2 linked regions of the Nothobranchius furzeri genome follow. The protein of the gene in region 1 purifies or fractionates together with the protein of each later gene. This does not show direct contact. Links are inferred from orthologs where the notes say so. Each region holds a gene or a part of one and is shown on either strand. Other genes may lie near its edges. The genes, in order: exoc7 and exoc8.

Region 1 (4,314 bases):
GGCTGCTTTTTTTCAGTAACTGAAACTGATTAATAAATCTGTACTCATACAGGCATGAATCATTCAAATGACTAGTTTGTGCTGGAGCCTCATGAATCTATCTTCAGTTTGTTTTCATTTCCTAGAACTAGTTTATGTAATTGTAAAATGTTAATCAGAGCGTTTGTATGAATACATTTTGCATCCATAACAGTGTGTTCAGATTTGTAAATATGTATACAAACTATGAGAACCAACTTCTTGTCTGCAAATACATTTGTAATTTTTGCGAATGGTGTGTTTTTCTTATTAACCCATCAAAACAATCCTATTAGTCATGTTAAACACACCTGTGACCAGTGTAAATCCAAATGATCTCCCCTGGAGGGAGTCAATTTCCCTCAGCTTGTAATGCTGTAGTTAGCTGGGGTAAGCACTCCACAACTATAGTGTTTATAAAAAAAACTTTTATTGTGTTAAGATGAAGGAAAGGCATGTTTGGGTGAGTTTCGTTCTTGCTGACCCCTAAATGTCATTCAGGACTATTCAATTCTGCTTCTGGATTGCTGGTATCCAGCATGTTTTAGTTTGAACTGCTGCAGCACACCTGATTTCAATCAGCAGGTGATTAGCAGGCTTCTGCATAGCCTGATGAACTGCTGCACAGGTGATGCAATCTCTGAATCAAGTGTGTTGGAGCAGAGAAATTACTAAAACATGCTGGATACCGGCCCTCCAGACCCGGAATTGAATATCCCAGCTATAGGTTTTTATTTGGAAATTTTACAGGAGTAGCAAATAAGATAATGTAATGTTATGAATGTAGTTCTCGGTTGTTTTTCTACTCTTCCACTTTCATAATAATATACCAAAAAGAATAAAAACAAACACAATTTAATTGAAATAAATAGGCTAATATTTAGAATCAAAGTGAAGTTCCGTTATTACTCCACTGGAGGTCGACAACTCGTTCACTGCAGTTTCATTAAAACGGTTATACTTTTATTTGCTGGACTCGCTCTAAATGATTTGCTGTTAATAATTAGTGTAAAGACATGTTTCCTAATTCAAGTATCGTGGTTTAAATTCAATTCAGATACCGGAAAAGACTAACACGCCTCACCGGATACTTTCTAAACATGCCTTCAAAATAAACTCAAACATTTATGATGTTTACAAGTAAACAAATTAAACTACAAACAAATTGCGAAACCTTAACACCATTAAACATACTCAAATTTCTAATGTTCAGTTTTACATTTAATAGCTCAAGGCTTTAAAAATATCGGATGAAAGCTAAGTGCTCCCCTGCCGAAACCTTTCTATGTAGTGTACCCCGGAGTTTTATCTGATATAAATAGACACAGATATTTAGATCTAGAGTCAATATTTGATGTCAAATGCTCAGTAAAATGCATTTTCCGATCTGATCTCCAAGTGTTGATTTATTCTGAAATGACAGCCGGAAGTTACGGCTGTTGGGGCTGTCCAACCTAGTTTGTGATTGCTACCTTTAGCTTTTAGGAACTGTGGCTTTTGCTAGTTTTTTTTAATGACCTAAACAGGTCTGTAATCGCTCATTCCTCCTTGGAGACAGCCCTTTGACGGGAACTAACTTCAGGATGATTCCTACTGAGGACGCGTCCGCCAGGAAGCGGGAGATTGAGGAGAAACTGAAGCAGGTCAGACTCCGATGGACAGGAAGGGGCTTTATTCTGCCCAATTCGGTGCTTAAAACGAACAATAACAGAGTCCAGACACCAGCTGAGAGCAAACTCTGATCGTTCTTAGTGTTTTCAGACTGTTTGTGGTGAGCTGTTGATTTTCTGTGGGATGTTACAGGAGCAGGAGACGCTGTCATTCATCCGAGAGAACCTGGAGAAGAGCGATCAGCTGACCAAAGGCATGGTAAGAAAACAACACAACATCCGGGTCACCTAACGAACAAACGTTTCAAAAGTTACCAATAAAAAATTATAAGGTCAAAGGTCAGTCTAGGTTTCAAGGGACACGTTTCGTTTAATATACAGTTATTAAAGCGACCAATCAAATAAAATCCCGTTTAAAAATTAAAGCAGAAAACATAAAAAAAGATAAACATTTAAGATTGAAAGTTGAAAATAGTGACTTTACATGTGTCTGAAATGTTTCAATGGATGTTGTTTATTTGAAACTGCTATTTAATCGTAAATTGTTAGTTTTTTGTCTGTTGAAACCTTTTTATTATTTTGTATTTTATTTATCTGAAGCCCACTTTGACTAAACTAAGACAATTGTTTCCGTTCATGTGGGACACTGCTAAGAGTTTATTATATATTATATATAAGTATTTATGGTTGTAATCTAAACTCGATTTCTAATTTTATTATACATGAATCTATGACTTTTTTTTTCAATAAAAGCACAAACTATCTGTTAGGTTCCAATGATTTAAAGGGATTTTGTTCTAAACACAAGTTTTCTTTTGTCTGAACCGAACTAGAAGCCCTATATTTATATTCTCAGTGTTTTGAACCTTTTGTTATTTTCTTTCTCATCCTGAAAGGTTTCCATCCTGTCATCGTTTGAGAGCCGCCTAATGCAGCTGGAGAACTCCATCATCCCGGTCCACAAGCAGACAGAGAACCTGCAGCGACTGCAGGACAATGTGGACAAAACTCTTTCCTGCATGGATCACGTCATTAGTTATTACCACGTGGCCAAAGACACTGACAGGATCATTCGAGAGGGGTGAGGACTGTCTCTGGAAACATTAAATGGTTCTGCTACTGGTATTGAGTCATAACGTGTGTGTGCGTGTGCGTGCGTGCGCTTGTTGTGTCTCAGACCTGCAGGCAGACTGGACGAGTATCTCGCTTGTATCGCAAAGATCCAGAAAGCTGTGGAATACTTTCAGGACAACCACCCTGACAGCCCTGAGCTCAACACAGTGGTACGATCTCATCCTGAATCTGTTTGTCCTGCTACTAGGACACATTTGACTGAATCCTCTCATTGGTGCTAAAATAATTTATTCTGGTGGTGGAAAAAAACAGCCGAAAGTCCAAATCAAAAATAGAGTATGACCTTCAGAACTCCTGAGAAACTGTTGATCAAGATAACTTTAAAGGGAACATAACTTTTTTTCTTAAATTATAACAGTTCTTTGGTTGATACCAAATATGTTTATGAAGTTTTTTTGCACCAAATCCCTCTTACGTTAAGTGATTTCAGTAGTTTTATTCTTGACAGTTTTAGTATCTTCCAGAGTGAGCCATTACGTTGCTTTAGGAAAACAAGCTGTAATTGGCCACGCCCACCCATCCCACTCACTCAGGCTGCTATTAGCTGAGAAGCTTCGATATCCAGGAAAGGATCAGAGTAACCCCTACTGCTCAATGGAAGCATCAGCACTGCAGAAGAGCAGCAGAGCGTCACTGCTTCAAATAAAACCCATTCAAATCTATGGGGGTGATTCAAACCAGCCGCGACTCGGCCATTTTCAGATGCATCTCAGAAGTGGCACACCGCACCGCTAAAGATGGGATCGTGTTCTATTTTTGCCGCGAGCCGCTTCCGGGATGCAACAATTAATGTAGTGCTAGACAGGAAATCACACACGATTTCAGTGTAAAACCCCAGTAATTTTCAAAATAAATGTATATTGCAGCGATGCGACTTCACATTTATGTAGATTACATCAATACAAGCGACCCAGCGGCTTATTTACTCCCTGCATCATTCCAGAAGTGCAGCTGTGTGTTTTTTATGGCTTTTGTCCTGGCAGTTGAGAGGAACAACATCATATATGTCAACAAACGTGATTTCCTTCTTTTTGGTTTAATGGCGGACGACATAAACTTGAGGGATTTTGTGATCTCGCGAGTTAAGCAAGGAGGATGGTGGAAGTCTCGAGGGATTTTGTGATTCCGCTGGTTGAGCGAGGAGCACAGCAGAGAAGCCGCTTTGCAGCTGATACTCTCCCGGTATGCTCTGGAGTGCAGCAGTTGTTGCAAGTAAGTCTTTCTGCTGCTGCTCCGTGCCACAGATGCTTCCAGTGTGCAGTAGGGGTAAGCCACTGGTCCTGCAGCAGCAGTTCTCTCTTGCACATGAGGGGTAGTTCTAATCTACTTTCCCTGTTTGTGACATCACAATTGGGGGATTTTTGAAACAGCTTTTTTTAGGCACTTCATTTTTTAAACCAAACGCTGACAGAAAAGAGATGGATGGATTTTTCATGTTTAGAGTGTTCATTTACAGTTCAGTTCATTTTTATTTCAAAGATTTCACACATGTATCATTACAAAATATAATTCCATTATTTGTTTGAGAAGGAGTAGGCAGAAGTATTTACTT
Region 2 (4,264 bases), on another chromosome or scaffold:
AGAAGCACAAGGAAACCATAATAGAGCTTCATGAAACTGGACATTTTTTGCTTTTTTAGAAATTATGTTTGACATACTTTGTGTCAGATATTTAGTGGTACCCATTTGTTTAATCTTTTACCTTATTTTTCTTCAATAATGATGTTTTTCCAAGCATCTCGCGCTTTGTGGCTACCATATTTGAATCCCAGTAAAGCCAACAGTGTTTATAAACATCCCTGCTGTAGGAAATCTGGTGAACAAACAAAACTTACAGTGTCATTCTGGGGCTCCACTTCACCTCGACTCCGCTCAGTTTCCCCCAGAAGAACAGGCTATTAAACTCCAGAAACATGGCCCTCACATCTGGGTTTGGGTCCAGCATCTCCCAGGACTCATCCACGATGCTCAGGGGTTTCTCAGGCTCGTGACCCGGCTTCCAGGAGGGGACAGCAGCGCTGCCACCTCCGGCTGCTTCCACTTTCCGTCTCTTACTGCTTTGTTCGAAGTAATTATCCTCGAATCTATTTGATGAGGTTAATGACGTCTCGTACTCATTATCGAACTGCTCCTGTAATTTAATGGCAAGCAGGAAATCCGCATCCATGACATCAGAAGGCAGCTGTGCTAGCTTGTTAGCTGACTTGCTAATGTAAATAGCACGAAGTTCTGGAACAAACGACGTCTGCAGCCTAATTATAAAATCAACCTTTCAGAGAAACATCGGTAAAAGGACTGAAGTCATGACTTTGAAAGATGAATCTCATCTTCTTGTCAGCCAAAGGTATCTGTAATAATAGTCGGTCTGTCCACAGCTCGCGCCAAACAGCAGGTTTGCTACATGTACTACATTACAACGAGTCTCTTTCCGTATGAACTTCTAAATAAAAAACTACTTCAAACTTAATTTCGTGTTTGATTTGGCTTTCCCCGCTTAGTTTTGTATCTTATTTTAATCAGCAGATGACTAAAATTAGCTTGTTTAAACGCTGTTGAAAATCTGTAATGTTTCTGCAGCTACCGTAAACTTCCGGTAGGTAAATAGTTGGACAACAAAACACCTATTCCGGGTGTTGTTCAATAGCCCAGTAATCAGTAACAACTGCAAAATAACAACACACAAAAAGCAAAATGAGTAAATAAATAAACAGAAGCTTTAAAATAAAAATAAAACATTGTTTGGTTTACCTGAAAGATCAATAACAATTTTGTTCTGAGTTTTTGTTGATCATCCTTTTTGTTCTCCCTTCTCGTGACGTTCATGTGACGTTGACAACCCGGGTGTTGGAGAAGCCAGATCCTTTTGGGGTGTTGACCTGTTTTCAGCTTCCTGTGTTTGTTGACGTGGATATGAAGGCGCTCGTTCTCTGTTTGCGTTTCTCGTCAGTTTGTTAACAGTTTTGCTTAATAAGGAAACACGCAGACAACCAAAGATGTCGGAAACCGGGAACCGACTTCGGAAGCTGCTGGAATCGCCCAACTTCGATCCACAGAACTACGTCAAGCAGCTGTCACAGCAGTCGGATGGCGACAGAGACCTTCAGGAGCATCGTCAGAAAATTCAAACTCTGGCTGATGAAACGGCCCAAAACCTCAAGAAGAACGTGTACAAGAACTACAGACAGTTCATCGAAACGGCCAAGGAGATCTCCTTCCTGGAGAGCGAGATGTACCAGCTGAGCCACATCCTCACCGAGCAGAAGAGCATCATGGAGAGCATCACTCAGGCCTTACTGTCCACAGACAAGGACGAGACCTCCAAAGAGATGCAGGCAGCGTTCCCCAAAGAGACAGAGGACCTGAAGCAGAGGACTCTCACCTCACTGCTGGAGAAGGTGGAAGGAGCTAAAAACATCATGGACACCCCAGGGAGACACCTGGTCTACAATGGAGACCTCGTGGAGTTTGATGTGGACAACATGTCCCCCATCCAGAAGGCTCATGCTTTCCTGATGAATGACTGCCTGTTGATTGCCACCTGGCTGCCTAACCGCAGAGGCACAGTGAAGTATAAATACAATGCCCTGTATGATCTGGAGAGCTTTGCTGTGGTCAACGTAAAGGACAACCCTCCCATGAAGGACATGTTCAAGATTCTCATGTTCCCAGACAGCCGCATCTTCCAGGTGGAAAACAGCAAAGTCAAGAAGGAGTGGCTGGAGATCCTGGATGAAACCAAGAAAAAGAAAGCCTCCCAGGACAAACACAAGAAAGAGGAGGAGGTCCCCACCTCTCCCGTGCGAGCCGAAGTGTCCAACAACCCTTTTGATGTGGATGACGACGAGCCGGCAGATGCCGAGGAGAGTGTGGACCTCAGTCTCGAGTGGATCCAGGAGCTGCCCGAGGACCTGGATGTGTGCATCGCTCAGAGAGACTTTGAGGGTGCAGTGGACCTGCTGGACAAGCTGAACGAGTATCTCAAAGACCAGCCTGCGACCCAGACGGTGAAAGAGCTGAAGGCGAAGGTGGATGAGCGTGTGCGGCAGCTGACTGAGGTCTTGGTGTTTGAGCTGTCTCCTGATCGGTCGCTTCGTGGTGGACCTAAAGCGACCCGGCGGGCCGTGTCCCAGCTCATCAGATTAGGTCTTTATTTGTATTAATAAGATCTCACAGACCATTAAAATGTTGATTTCCCAAAACCAGTAAACATTTCAACACAAAGCCAGAGTAGTCCTTGGAGAATCCATGCCTGTAACAATTTAAAGTTATATTTCCAACAGTTGATGATGTCATTTCTGTGTTTCAGGTCAGTCCACCAAGGCTTGCGAGCTGTTCCTGAAGAACCGCGCCGCGGCTGTCCAGACGGCCATCCGGCAGCTCCGCATCGAAGGAGCCACGCTGCTCTACATCCACAAACTCTGCAACATTTTCTTCACCAGCCTGCTGGAAACTGCCAAGGAGTTTGAGACGGACTTTGCGGGGAACACGGGCTGCTACTCTGCCTTTGTGGTCTGGTCCAGATCGGCCATGACGATGTTTGTGGACGCGTTTAGCAAACAGGTCAGCAGAGGCTCAGCGATGTCCCTAACATGAGTCAAGAAATATGTTTCGATCATTATTCTTGATAAAAAAAAAATCAAGATCAATTATTGTTCCAATTATTTCAGAAAATGATTCAAAACGGCCAATTTTCTGTTTTCCAGGTGTTTGACAGCAAGGAGAGCCTGTCGACAGCAGCAGAGTGCGTTAAAGTGGCCAAGGAGCACTGTCAGCAGCTGACGGAGATCGGCCTGGATCAGACGTTCACGCTGCAGTCGCTGCTGGTCAAAGACGTCAAGGCAGCCCTGCTGAGCTACAAGAACATCATCATTGAGGCCACAAAACACCGGAACTCTGAGGAGATGTGGAGGAGGATGAACTTGATGACCCCTGAGGCTTTAACTAAGCTCAAGGTCGAACAGCCTTCCTTAATTCCCAATTTTGTGTTTGTTTCTTTTGTTTGAAGAAGAAAACTAAAGAAAATGCGGGTGTTGAGCAGCATCTAAGGCTTTTCTCTTCGTCTTGCAGGATGAGATGCGTAGCTGTGGGATTAGTTTCCAGCAGTACACGGGCGATGACTGCTGGGTGAACTTGAGCTACACCATCGTGGCCTTCACCAAGCAGATGATGAGCTTCCTGGAAGAGGGTCTGAAGCTCTACTTCCCCGAGCTGCACATGGTGCTGCTGGAGAGCCTGAGGGAGATCATCCTGGTGGCCGTGCAGCACGTCGACTACAGCCTGCGCTGTGAGCAGGACCCCGAGAAGAAGGCTTTCGTCCTGCAGAACGCCACCTTCCTCCACGACACCGTGCTGCCAGTGGTGGAGCGGCGGTTTGAGGAGGGTGTGGGGAAACCGGCCAAACAGCTGCGGGACCTGAGGAAGAGCACGAGGCCGGTGCGGATCAACCCAGAGAGCACCACATCCTTAGTCTGAGGCCGACAGGAGCTTCGACGGCTCGTTTAACAAACCGCGTGAGACTGAAACGGCGGCCGGTGGCCACTCCCCCCTTCCCTCCCTGTCATTTCACCTCCCCCCTCAGACCCGATCCACAACACTAACTACTGGGTGTTTAGATGCTGCAGGAAGGAAATGATGGTAAAATGAAAGAGTCAGTGATGACACAGTCGGACGTTTTATTTAAAGTTAAATTTTCCTGCTGCAGCTTGTTTAGTTCTCAGTTCTTCGGGTTAATAATCCATCATACAAAACGCTTCAGTCCAATGAAAGAATAAACCGACCTCTGCTGGTGTTTGACCTCGTTTACGTGAATATTTTATCTTACAAGGGATTCCTTATGTTAGCAAAA

What was found.
Region 2: the proteins of exoc7 (region 1) and exoc8 purify together in Homo sapiens (affinity purification with mass spectrometry; 4 studies listed by BioGRID and IntAct, counting the BioPlex papers as one, with this or other methods). This does not show direct contact. The link is inferred for Nothobranchius furzeri from reciprocal best matches to the Homo sapiens genes EXOC7 and EXOC8.

The regions. Positions count from the first base shown.
Region 1 is NC_091756.1:53,832,386-53,836,699, reverse strand, and holds the start of exoc7 (exocyst complex component 7), read left to right. Parts: upstream 1-1,465; 5' UTR 1,466-1,601; coding exon 1,602-1,661; intron 1,662-1,821; coding exon 1,822-1,887; intron 1,888-2,524; coding exon 2,525-2,709; intron 2,710-2,805; coding exon 2,806-2,911; intron 2,912-4,314. UniProt on the Homo sapiens protein: Component of the exocyst complex involved in the docking of exocytic vesicles with fusion sites on the plasma membrane.
Region 2 is NC_091742.1:10,762,446-10,766,709, forward strand, and holds exoc8 (exocyst complex component 8), read left to right. Parts: upstream 1-1,263; 5' UTR 1,264-1,412; coding exon 1,413-2,562; intron 2,563-2,725; coding exon 2,726-2,979; intron 2,980-3,122; coding exon 3,123-3,371; intron 3,372-3,486; coding exon 3,487-3,891; 3' UTR 3,892-4,212; downstream 4,213-4,264. Other genes in the region: DNA-dependent metalloprotease SPRTN, read right to left, coding at 255-586. UniProt on the Homo sapiens protein: Component of the exocyst complex involved in the docking of exocytic vesicles with fusion sites on the plasma membrane.